Linked DNA regions of Elephas maximus indicus. The protein of the gene in region 1 interacts with the protein of each later gene in a pairwise test. Links are inferred from orthologs where the notes say so. Each region holds a gene or a part of one and is shown on either strand. Other genes may lie near its edges. The genes, in order: THAP1, GPATCH2L and C2H1orf35.

What was found.
Region 2: the proteins of THAP1 (region 1) and GPATCH2L interact in binary tests that used the Homo sapiens proteins (3 or more experiments, as listed by UniProt). The two-hybrid records come from large-scale screens. The link is inferred for Elephas maximus indicus from reciprocal best matches to the Homo sapiens genes THAP1 and GPATCH2L.
Region 3: the proteins of THAP1 (region 1) and C2H1orf35 interact in binary tests that used the Homo sapiens proteins (3 or more experiments, as listed by UniProt). The two-hybrid records come from large-scale screens. The link is inferred for Elephas maximus indicus from reciprocal best matches to the Homo sapiens genes THAP1 and C1orf35.

What each region holds. Positions count from the first base shown.
Region 1 is NC_064840.1:57,592,808-57,596,555, reverse strand, and holds the start of THAP1 (THAP domain-containing protein 1), read right to left. Parts: upstream 2,470-3,748; 5' UTR 2,223-2,469; coding exon 2,152-2,222; intron 1-2,151. UniProt on the Homo sapiens protein: DNA-binding transcription regulator that regulates endothelial cell proliferation and G1/S cell-cycle progression.
Region 2 is NC_064828.1:88,911,536-88,915,283, forward strand, and holds the start of GPATCH2L (G patch domain-containing protein 2-like), read left to right. Parts: upstream 1-1,325; 5' UTR 1,326-1,408; intron 1,409-3,701; 5' UTR 3,702-3,711; coding exon 3,712-3,748.
Region 3 is NC_064820.1:232,588,385-232,592,132, reverse strand, and holds the start of C2H1orf35 (multiple myeloma tumor-associated protein 2), read right to left. Parts: upstream 2,371-3,748; 5' UTR 2,362-2,370; coding exon 2,304-2,361; intron 2,183-2,303; coding exon 1,924-2,182; intron 1,819-1,923; coding exon 1,773-1,818; intron 1,644-1,772; coding exon 1,561-1,643; intron 1,307-1,560; coding exon 1,234-1,306; intron 1,012-1,233; coding exon 926-1,011; intron 1-925.

The DNA.
Region 1 (3,748 bases):
CATTGACTCGACAGCAATGGGTATAGATTCCCTCTGCCATATCATTAGGAAGGTGGGGGCAGAATGCATGACATCTTGTCACTATCTCCTGGCCCTTCCTATAATTTTAAAGTACTGGAGGTCAATTTCATCAGGGTTCAGAGATTCCAATAAATCAAGAGATTTGATCTTGATCAAATCTACTGAACTGAATTCTGGAAGTGTTCTATTCCCTTCTTCATGGGAAAATATTAACACTCTCAAGATCTTTTTATGCTCTAAAACTAAACCAAATCCACTGCCATGGAGTCAATTCTGATTCATAGCAACACTATGCTCTAGGTACTCCTATTTCTGTAGGGTCCAACCCATGTTATATCAAACACAGAAAAATCCATCCAGTCCTCCATTAAACATAAACAGCCCCCTCTCCCTAAATTGAAGGCATGCTTAAATATTTGCTTTTGTAATTATTTGACTCAACAATGCGTATAGTTTACTATTGGCTCTACTTTCTTAGGTATCATCCCTATATATTCAGGAATTCTTGCAAAAAAATATATAATGCAAACATAATAAAATCTGTAAATACTAATCTTGGCTGAATGAAACTGTTGTCACATTTTTTAGCCATTTAATTAACACTACCTCATTTCAGTTTTGCAGTTTTCTTTTCCTACTTTCCTCCGTAGTACTATAACTGTGGCACCTACTGGGTGAAATAGTCCTGAATTTCAGCTGTGCGGTGCGTTCCTCTGTGAAGGCTTTCTCTATGCTCCCATAGAGATCACACTGACTTTATGGTACTTTATTGCAGTCTAGGTTATTATTGTTGTCCATTTTTACGATTACTGTGTGCTGTAAAGATAATTATTCATCTCAGCAGTGCCACAAGTGTTCTCTAAAACTTTAGACTTGTCATGGACTGAATTATGTCCCCCCAAAAATGTGTGTTTTCAGTTGGGCTGGGCCATGATTCCCAGTATTGTGTGATTTTCCTGTATGCTGTAAATCCTGCCTCTATATTAATGAGGGAGGATGGGCGGCAGTTGTGTTAGCCAAGCAGGACTCAACCTACCAGTTTGGGTTATGTCTTGAGGCAATCTCTTGAGATATAAAAGAGAGAAGCAAGCAGAGAGACAGGGGGACCTCATACCACCAAAAAAGCAGCACCAGGAGCTGAGTACGTCCTTTGGAACCGGGGTCCCTGCACCTGAGAAGCATCTAGACCAGGGGTAGACTGAGGACAAGGACCTTCCTCCAGAGCCGACAGAGGGAGAAAGACCCACCCTGGAGCTGACACTCTGAATATGGACTTTTAGCCTACTTTACTGTGAGGAAATGTATTTCTCTTTGTTAAGACCATCCACTTGTGGTATTTCTGTTATAACAGCACTAGATGACTCAGACAGGAGTGAAGGCTGGTTCCCAGATGTTGAGCCAAAAAAATCCTCCCTCAGATACTAAACTTTTGTTAAAGGTGATGGGACATTTGGAAATGCATAATGGTAATAGTTGAACATAATAAACGTAACTAGTGTAATTGAGTTGTACATACATGTTGAAACAGTACATGCATGTTGAAATTGTAAAGCATGCTGAAATAGCAAGCGACTTATTACATACATATGTACAATTTTTAAAAAATCTTCCCTAAAACTCCAGTCAAAAATTAATCCTCAATTGTTGTGATTCTGGCCTCCCGTTCCCAGTAGTTTCTGAAGGACCAAAAACAGTAACTTCTATTTTGTTTTTTGTGGAGCCCCAGTAGCGCAGTGGTTAACAGCCATGGCTGCTAACCAAAGGGTCGGCAGTTCTAATCCACCAGCCACTCCTTGGAAACTCTATGGGGCAGTTCCCCTGTCGCTATGAGCCGGCCTCGAACTCGCCAACCCGAAGCCACAAGCGCTTCTTGCCTTCTCCGCGGATTTTAAGAGCGCGAGAAACGGTCGCTATGGCGACGCGCGGTGAGACCGCCCAGCCCGGAACCGAAAAGCGCCGGCCTCGGAGCGGCGCTTCCCCAACACTTCCCTGTCCGGACACGCCCACCGCTCCCCGCCCGCCTCATTACCCCTCGCGCGGGCACGCGCCGGGCTCCGCCCCCGAACCTAAACGGCCGCGCGCCCCTAGCCCGACCTGGGGTATGTCCCGTGAGGAGCGCAGCGTACTTACTTGTGGAAAGAAACGGGCTTATCCTTATCGTATCTGTTCTTGCAACCGTAGGCGGAACAGGACTGCACCATCCTTCCGGTACTCAGTCACTTCACTTCTGCCGCCACCGCAGGCAGGTGAAGCTATCAATATCCCCGCGGTCGATTTTGACACTCTCGCTTCTTCTGTAGCTTTGGTTAACAGATAAAGTGATGATAGCCTCACTCGGGTGTGACTAATGTGCCCGTTTTGTTGTTTGCATTAGCAGAAAGACCACAGCCATCGCCCGTCTCCCATCTCCAAGATGGCGGAGGCAGCTTCAACTTCACTTATCGCGAGGAGTTCGTCCCACTGCCTCTGATTAGCCCCCGAGGTCAGAGGTAACGTTTCCTGCGGAGCAGGCCATTGGCTGAGGCTTGGCGTCTCGCGCAGCGAGCTCTGCGTTGCGGAAGTGGGCGGGGCCTCCGAGATCCCTGCCGGGAGGAAGGGAGCCGTTGGGGGCGGGGAAGGGGCTGGGCGAAGGTGAGCCGTGGGCCGAGCTCCTGTCGGTCGTGGAGTTTCCGTAGACTTACTTATCCGGAGCTTTCCTGGGGCGGCTTGGAGTGTGGGACCAGTACAGCTTGTTGGGTCTGGTGGCCTAAAGGAGGCTGGGGAGCAAAGTCTTAATTGAGCCCATTTTCTTAAAAGGTACGCCACAGACGATTTTACGATTTTGTGGACCCCTTTTCTGACCCCTAATCTGTATCCTATTACCTGTCTGTACAGGCATCTCAAGGATCTGTGAGAGTCCATGTGACAGATTCTTAGCGATGAAAGAAGCCACACGCACAGCCCCCACGTACCAGCCGGATCCTCTTTCTGGACTTCTCTGGAAGCGGCTCCGTTTCCCGCGGCTGGCTTTTGCTGCAGGGTTCCCAGGCGCTGCCTTGGAAATCGCCACTGGCAGCAGCGATTTCCACGTGGAGAGTGGTTTTACCCAGGGCTTTGAACCCGTTGGTTCCGGTTCAGACCCCTGCTGTGAAGTTGCATTTACACCCCCACCCACCCATTTCACCCCAGGTATTCTGAATCAATCTACATTTTAATGAGATCCTTAGGTGATTCTTACATAATAAAGTTTGAGAACTACTGCTCAACTGGTGGTTCTCACAATTGGTTGCTAACCAGCACCATTAGCATCAACTGGAAGCTTATTAGACATGCAGATTCTCAGCCCTGATTTTACTGTTCCCGTACCCGCCCCTCTCCTCTATGTAGGTTAAAGCCTGGATAGGGGGCAACTGATTAATTTAATGGCTCGTACATTCTTTTTCTGCTCTTCTTAAATGTTGGGGTTTCAATCCTCTGCCCTCCTTGCACTCTGAACACTCTGATTCTTGAATCAAATGCCATAACTTCCTCAATCTTTTACTTCTTATGTAAATTCGTTCTGCCTAGGTATTCTCATTACCTGTAAATTATCCATGCAGTTCAGGCCAGAAACCTTGGAGTCAGCTTGGATGTCTTTCTCACCCTTCACATCCCTTTCATTACCAGGTTAATTTTTTTTTTTAATTGTGCTTTAGGTGAAAGTTTACAGCTCAATTTCTCCTTCAAAAATTTATACACATACTGTTTT
Region 2 (3,748 bases), on another chromosome or scaffold:
GTTTTTAGAGTAACTTTTTTACTGAAGTATAACAGTCATACAGAAATGTACACCATCCTAAATCAATGACTTTTCATGGCATCAAATATTCTTCCACAGCATCAATTTTAAAAGACTGCAAGGTATTCCAGCTCATAATTTAGTTAACTAGCTCTTGTTGTAGCTTTATCTTTCACCCTCCTCCCCTACAACACTGCAGAGATGAATCTACTCACATTTAACACTTTTGTGCCCATTTCTAATTCTTCCTCAGAATAAAATTCCTAGAAGCAGAATTGCTGGATCAAGAAACATGTGTATTTTCTACTTTTTAAATTTTAGGATAGTTTTAGATTTATAGAAAAATTGCAAAGATACTGCACAGTTCTCTTTACTATTAACATCTTACATTAGTATATTACACTTGTCACAATTAACCAACCAATATTGATATGTAATTATTAACTGAAGTCCATTCTTTACACATATTTCCTTAGTTTTTACCCAATATTCTTTTTCTGTTCCAGGATCCCATTCAAGAAGCCACATTTATCTGTCGTGTCTCCTTAGACTCCTCTGGGCGGTGCCATTCTCATCACATCATATCAAGGCTGTATACTATGAACATGACTTATCACTGTTGATGTTGACCTTGATCACCTACCTGGTTGAGGTTGTGTTTGCGACTTTACTGTAAAATTACGTACTTTTTTTGGCCTCTTTTCATACAGTACCCTTTGGAAAGAAGTCACAGTGCACAGCCCAACTTAAGGAGCTGGGAGTTATGTTAATTATCGGTATAAATTATTTATAATGCTGCACAGGAAATGTGTCTCTTCTCCCCCATATATTTATCCAATCAATCATTTTTTTATATCACTATGTACTAACGGTTATTTCTACTCTATTTTTGCTCTTCAAGGCATGTGTAACTTTAATGCAAAGGTATCCTTGCCATAGGTTGTACCAACTCTCACGGTTAAGAATGAGAAGCTCCATTTCCCCCAACTTTACACAGCCTTTATAAAAGTAGGCCAGCAAGCAAGGGCGAGGCCGATGCTCCTCCCTAACACCCAATTTCCTGACGCCTCCAAGAAAGACGCGACTAGCTCGCTGAAGTCTTTCCTCGGAGTAACACCTTAACCCAGGAGAAGCACCTCGCACTGCTCTCCCCTATCGCCGCGCGTCCAAGCCCCTTCGCGTAGCTCCCGGACTTCCTACGGCTCCGCCCCTAGAGGGGCGGAAGTGGGCGTGACCGCAGGGCGGAAGCGCTGCCCCGGGGGCGGTTCTTCTCGTGCACCTCAACCCCTCCCACTGGGATACCGCTCCACCCCTCCGGCCCACACCGGAAATGAGATCAGAGAGGGAAACCCCGGCGGGCAGACTCGGCGCAAAAAGCGGCGGCCTGAAGAGGCGGTTGCGGCAGCCGGTGAGGGGGAGGAGTGGGATGAGCGGGTCGGGATTCAGAGGACTGGTACCAGCGGGGATCAGGCCTCCGGGCCGCCGGGGCGGCTAGGGGCTGAGCGGCTAGGGGCGCCAGGGGACTGCGACGGCCGGCGGGAGGGGCGGTGGTGGCGGGGCCTTGCATTGCAGGGCCCATTGCCCCCATCCCGGAATGATAGGGCCGTCTCTGGGGTGACAGTCCCCTCTTCTCTCTGTATTCTACCTCTTTCGGGCCGGCGACAGCGTGAGGGCTTGGTGTCCCGAGCCGTGGTCGCCCTGTCCCACGAGGACGGGTCAGGGCGTGGGTGAGAGCCCCCCAAACCCGCTTTTCCTCACATATGTGGCCATGTTGCCATCCCCGAACAGGGAGGGAGTTCAGCCCCCAGAACTTGCCTGTTGGCGGTTTCTGACCTAGAAGGGCTGACCTCTGCCCCTTGTGATTGAGCCCAGATGAGAAGTTGCTGCCTGCTTCCCCACCTCCCCTTCACCCTGCGTCTGCCTCTCTTGTCACTTGGTGTCCACCAGCTTCCTCTTCCTTCCTGCGCGTGACTCAGACAGGCTTACCTCTCCCCCCGGGGGCTGCCAGGACCCGGGAGGTCCGCTTGGAGTCTGCACCGAGACTGGAAGCGTGGGAGCCTCAGGCTTCTCCTCGGTCATCGGCTGTTTGCATTGCAGCTTTTGAGTCAGGAGAGGATTCTGAACAGGCATTCAATTAGAAGTTGTTCGGATAACTTTGGTCCACGTTAAAGTTTGTACGGTTCTGCCCGAGTTTTTAAGGTAGTAGTTCTTTATTGGGGAAGTAGATTTAGATTTGTTTAGCTCATTTGGGTTTTAAGGTCAGTTGTCTCTCAAATACCAGTCATGGCATTCTAAACCGCTTCCTATTACTTAAGGGGATGAAGTCTTTTAGTGTGTGTGACTTTTGACATTTTGAGAAGTTATGTTTCGGGTGGTTTTGGAACTCGATGTTCTCATTGCTTCCACAGATGTGGCAGATAAGCCAGCCTTTGAATTCGTTGGCAGAGGGACAGCATGAAAATAGGTCTTAGAAAGCCCTCTGCAAAATGTAAACTGCGTGAACGGAAATATGGTCAGAGAGTGGCGCCACACAAGGTTTTAAGCTCTAATTATGCTCCTGAAATGGTTTGGGCTTAAGGAGAGCTAGGGAAAAAACGATAATTTAATATGTATTATAATTAGATGTTGGACAAATTATGTTAGACATTTCCCATTAAAAGGGAATTTTGAAAATTGCTCATGCTACTCTTATCCTTTGAAGGTTTGAATCTGAAGTGACCCCTGAAGCATGATGGTTTGATGAGAATGAGTAGGAAATCTTAGAAGCTGCACCCTATCCCTGTCATTCTATCCTCGGTAATTTCCCGTGTTTCCGTAGTTGTGTGGCACTAAAGCATTTAATTGGGGTGGCTATTTAATTTATTTTTTGAAAGATGGGAAGAGGAGCTTAAAAGTTGTTAATTATGACAAAATACATGACATATTCTATAAGGTACTATACCTGGTAGCTAGCTGCCAGGTGGTAGCCTGGACAACAAAATTCATGACATAGTCTATAAGGTGCTATACCTGGTAGCTAGCTGCCAGGTGATAGTCCAGACTAAATGGATGTAAACTTAGTCTCTTTTTTCCATTCTGAGTACAAAGTCTTGGATCACTGCAAAGTCACGACAGTCTTGGATCACTAAAACTGCAAGCAGTCTTCCTTAGAGTATGTCACTAAATTGTCTTTTTGTTCCTCACCACCTAGATTCTCACCAGTGACCCCAGACCACAGAACAATCAGTTCTCCAGCCATTCTCACTGTCATGTTGAGACTGGGCCTACCCTGTGGTACCTGACCCCTACCCTGGTTTTGAAGTTGTGTGTTTTTGTACTCCTCTGATGAGTTAGTCTCGGATCTTTTTGAATCTCATTATCATGTAATTCAGATGAAAGTTTTATTGGAGAAAAAGGGAAAGACCTATTCCCCTGAGTTTGCTTGTTTTTGCTAATATTCTGGTTGTCACCTGGTGGGTGTTTGCATTTTTGTGGTTGAGAACATGTTGACTTCAGGCATTTCACAAGGGTCAGATGCCTATTTTTAGTGGCTTAGGGGAGCATGGGTGGCAGGAACAGAGTGTAAGTGTGGCTGGATGAAAGGCAACTTTATTTTCTATAGACCGGGTGGACTCTGCAGTGTTATAACCTGTTTTATAAAATTATTCTAAACCATCAGATCCTATTCAGGCTTTTCTTTTCTTTGAATTTCCTTTTGGCAGATGTGGCCTCATGGATGAGCTGGTACATGACTTGGCCTCAGCCTTGG
Region 3 (3,748 bases), on another chromosome or scaffold:
TTAGCAGCTGTAGCACTTAACCACTACGCCACCAGGGTTTCCAACTAAGTGAAAGCAATGAGAAATTCAGTGCCTTGGTCATACCGGCCACATTTCAAGTTCTCAAGTCTCCATGAACAGCAGCTCCACTGTGGACAGTGCAGGCAGGAACATACCCGTCATGGCACAGTACACTGGCCCACTAAGTATAGCCCTGGGCACCCTCACCCCACTCCGCATCCCACACACACCCAGCCCCCCTTCCAAGCTGCCTGAGTGCAGGTCTGCTGACCACCCTGTGCAGCCCGGCCCGGCACTGCCTGGCACACAGCAGGCACGAGAGTGCAGCCTGGCAGTACAGGGCCTTCACTACCACCTGGCCTCAAACCTGCCTTCAGCCTGTCTCCACTGCACTCTCTACATGGACTCTGAGCATCTTGCTGCCACACACGACTCCTTGCCGGACCTATGGGCCCTTTCTCACCTCTGGGCTGGGTGCACGGGCCCTCCCTGGCCAGGACTCAGCCTCGGCCCTCGTGCCAGAGTGGCCACCTGACTCTGCTGGAGCTGGAGGGCCGTTCCAGGACCACACTGAGTATGCCTGCAACTTGACCTTCTCATCCGGGAACAACTCAGAGGGTTCCCAAGATGACAAAATAGGAGGCAACGAGAAAACATGGGAAGGGGCAAAAGCCACGTCCTCCACTCTACCGCAAGCAGGCAGCCTGCCCATCTGGCTCAGAATTTCCTAGCAACCAGATGTGCGAAGAGAAACTTCAATTCTGTGCTACTCAAACTTCTGCTCTGGAGCCTCTGGGGTGTGGCTTAAAGTGGCCTGGCCCCAAATATGGAAATTCTTAAAATTAAATTTTAAGTATGAAATTAAACCCAGCATCCCGCAGTGTGGGTATGCTGCCTGTGGACCCTGCGTAAGCGAGGCCCTTACCACGGCTCCGCCTTCTCCTCAGAGTGCAGCTTCTTTCTGGCTGAGGCTGGGGAGGTCTCTGCCCCACTGCTCTCCACTCGTTGGTGCTGCCAAGGGAAGCCAGTGCCACAGGTGAGGACTCAGGAGAAGGCCTGGACAACCCTGAGATGCTTCCAGGCCATCCAAGCCCAGGTTTCTCAAGTCAGGAGACTGGGAATGCCCCCAGAGAGGAGAGGACCCTGCCTCAGGCCCACAGCACCAGGGGAAGCCAGGCCCCTCCCATCTTGCCAGCATGGGCTCCTGGTGTGTTCTGGGGGAGGGGACATTACTGTGAACACCGACAGCCCCAGCTTGGCAGCCTCCTTGTCTTCTCTGGACAACACCACTCGGCCGGCGGAGCCACTGTAAGAACACACGAGGAGGGAATGCGTCTGTGGGAAGAAGGCCGAGCTGCGCCCCAGTCAGGAGGCCCTGCAGCCCTGCTGCACTTGCTTCACCTGGGCACCTGGCAGGGCCCACGGGGAGGAGCCCTGCCCTCGATTTCTCTGGGACTTGCGGATCCCTGACATCTCCCTCAGGTCCTTAATCTGCAAGTCCCAGTCCTGACAGACCCCGTCGCCAGGAGGACCCCTAAGAGTTCACCCCTGTCCCCGCACCTGGAGCTCCCCAGCCCCAGGAGCCGGTCCACACCCTTGTCCTCAGGGTCTGCTCCTTCCCGCTTACAGATCTCGACAAAGTCCTGTGGGGAGAGAAAGGCAAGGTCCTCGCAGGCCCCAGAGCCGCCTCCCACCCCGCCCAGGCCACCCTGCCGACCTCAGACCCGACACTGCCCGAACCTCCCTCGGCCCGGGGCCCCTCGGCCCGTTACCTCCTTGCTCAGGCCTGTGGGCTGTTTCTTCACATTCTTGTAGCCTCTGCAACGGGGCCAAGGCACGCTTCAGGAGGGGCCGGTCCCCCATCCCACCCCGGGCCTCCCAGCCCTCGGGGCGCCTGCACCCTCGGCCCGCACGGCCACTCACAGGGCTGCCATGAGGGCCTCCTGCTCCGCCTGCCGCACGGCCGCCAGCTCCTCCTCGCGGCTCAGCCCCACCGGGCCGGCGCGGTCCTTGGCGTACCAGGTGAGGTCCCGGCCCTTCTGCCACCGGCCCACGGGGGCCATCAGCGAGTTCCCCAGGTAGTTCTCCCGCTGCTTGTCGGTTTTCACGTCTTCCCAGTTGAACTGGTCCTGGCCGCCGCGGACGCCGCCTCGACTGGAGCCGAACATGGTGCCGGCGGCTGCTGCGGGCGACGGGAGGACAGAGAGGTCCGCGCTTGGCCAGTCCCTCCAAGCCCCAGGCCAAGTCCAAGGCCGCCCAGCCCGCGCTCGCCCAGCCCGCCCGGGCCCGCCGCCCGCCCTCACTGGCCGCCGCGGCAGCTCCTGCGAGCGTACGCCCCCGCGCCGCGCGCGGTGACGCCATCCGCACCGCCGTCGGCTCCGCCCCTCGCGTCGCGCGCGGCGACGTCATCACCCGCGCCAGGTCCCGCCCCCAGCGCCAGGGGGCAGCTCGGCTGTTCTGTGTACGCACGGCGCTGGGGTCTTTCTCCCCGCTGCGGGGGTTAGAACCGCTAGCCTTTCCGTTAGCAGCCGAGCGCTTAACTGTTGTGTCACCACGGCTGCGTGAAGATTACAGCCAAGAAAATCCTGTGAAGCAGTTCTGCTCTGTAGCATGGGGTGGCCGGGAGGCTTGACCGCCAGCTAATAACACAAAAATTGTATTTCAGAATCTGATCCCTAAGATGCCAAAATGACAGCGATATAAGTTTTTTTAACGTGAAAAAGGTGAAAACAGTGACAGAAGGTAATAAGAAAAAAACACTGCCGCTTAGTCGATTCTAACTCATAGCGACCCTGTAGGACAGAGCAGGACTATCCCATAGGGTTTCCAAGGGTGTATTCGTTACAGAAGCAGACTGCCACATCTAATCTGGTGGACAGCCCATCTCTGGAGAAAAATCATCGTGCTATTCAAAGGAAGAAATAATCTTGGACGTCCAGATGGCTGGAATAAAAAGCAAGCATTTATGCTTACAGAAATACATCAGCGGCTTGAAATCCAATAAGGTAAATTAGGCCGTAAGAATTGTGCAACCATTCAGCATTTAAGAGTGACAGGGAAAAGCGTGTGGCATTTACCTGGTAACTCCAAATGGCAGTAGGCACTAGGCAGGTTCTCTGCGAACAAAGAGGTAAGGAATATTTTGTTTCTAAAACCCATGCTAAAGTTCAAGATTTGTAAAATAAATGGTTCAATTCCCAGTTTAGCGTATAAACTAAATAAAATACTGATGCTACCATAGAAGTTTTTAATACGGTTCATGGTTTAGTAAAACATAATAGGCTTTACCTGGCATTGAGGGGCAATAAGATTTCAAGAGAACTGGAAAGGTCAGCTGTTCAGTAGAGCAAGAGTAACAGGACAAATCACAAGAATTAAGATGAAGATAATTAAAGGTATCATAGAAGGGAACGGCAGACGTGGTACTTGAACCACCAGGCATTTCGTGACTACACTCCAGTGCCCAGTTCGGCCAGTGCCTGCCTCCGCCAGTCAGCTTATTTGTTGCTTTAAAAGAGCTGGTATCCACCACAGTGGATTATGGTTTCAGTACACTATGGTTTACCATCAATTACTGTGGCTTTAATAATGAATATTCAAAAACAAACCTCATTGTATTTTGTTCTGATGGGGCAATGCTGAGAAGAAAATCTGAAGTAACTACAAAGCTGTTGGAAAATATTCCTAAAAATCTTCATTTGGAACTGTAAAATCATTAGTTGCAACTGTCAACAGCAGAATGAAAACA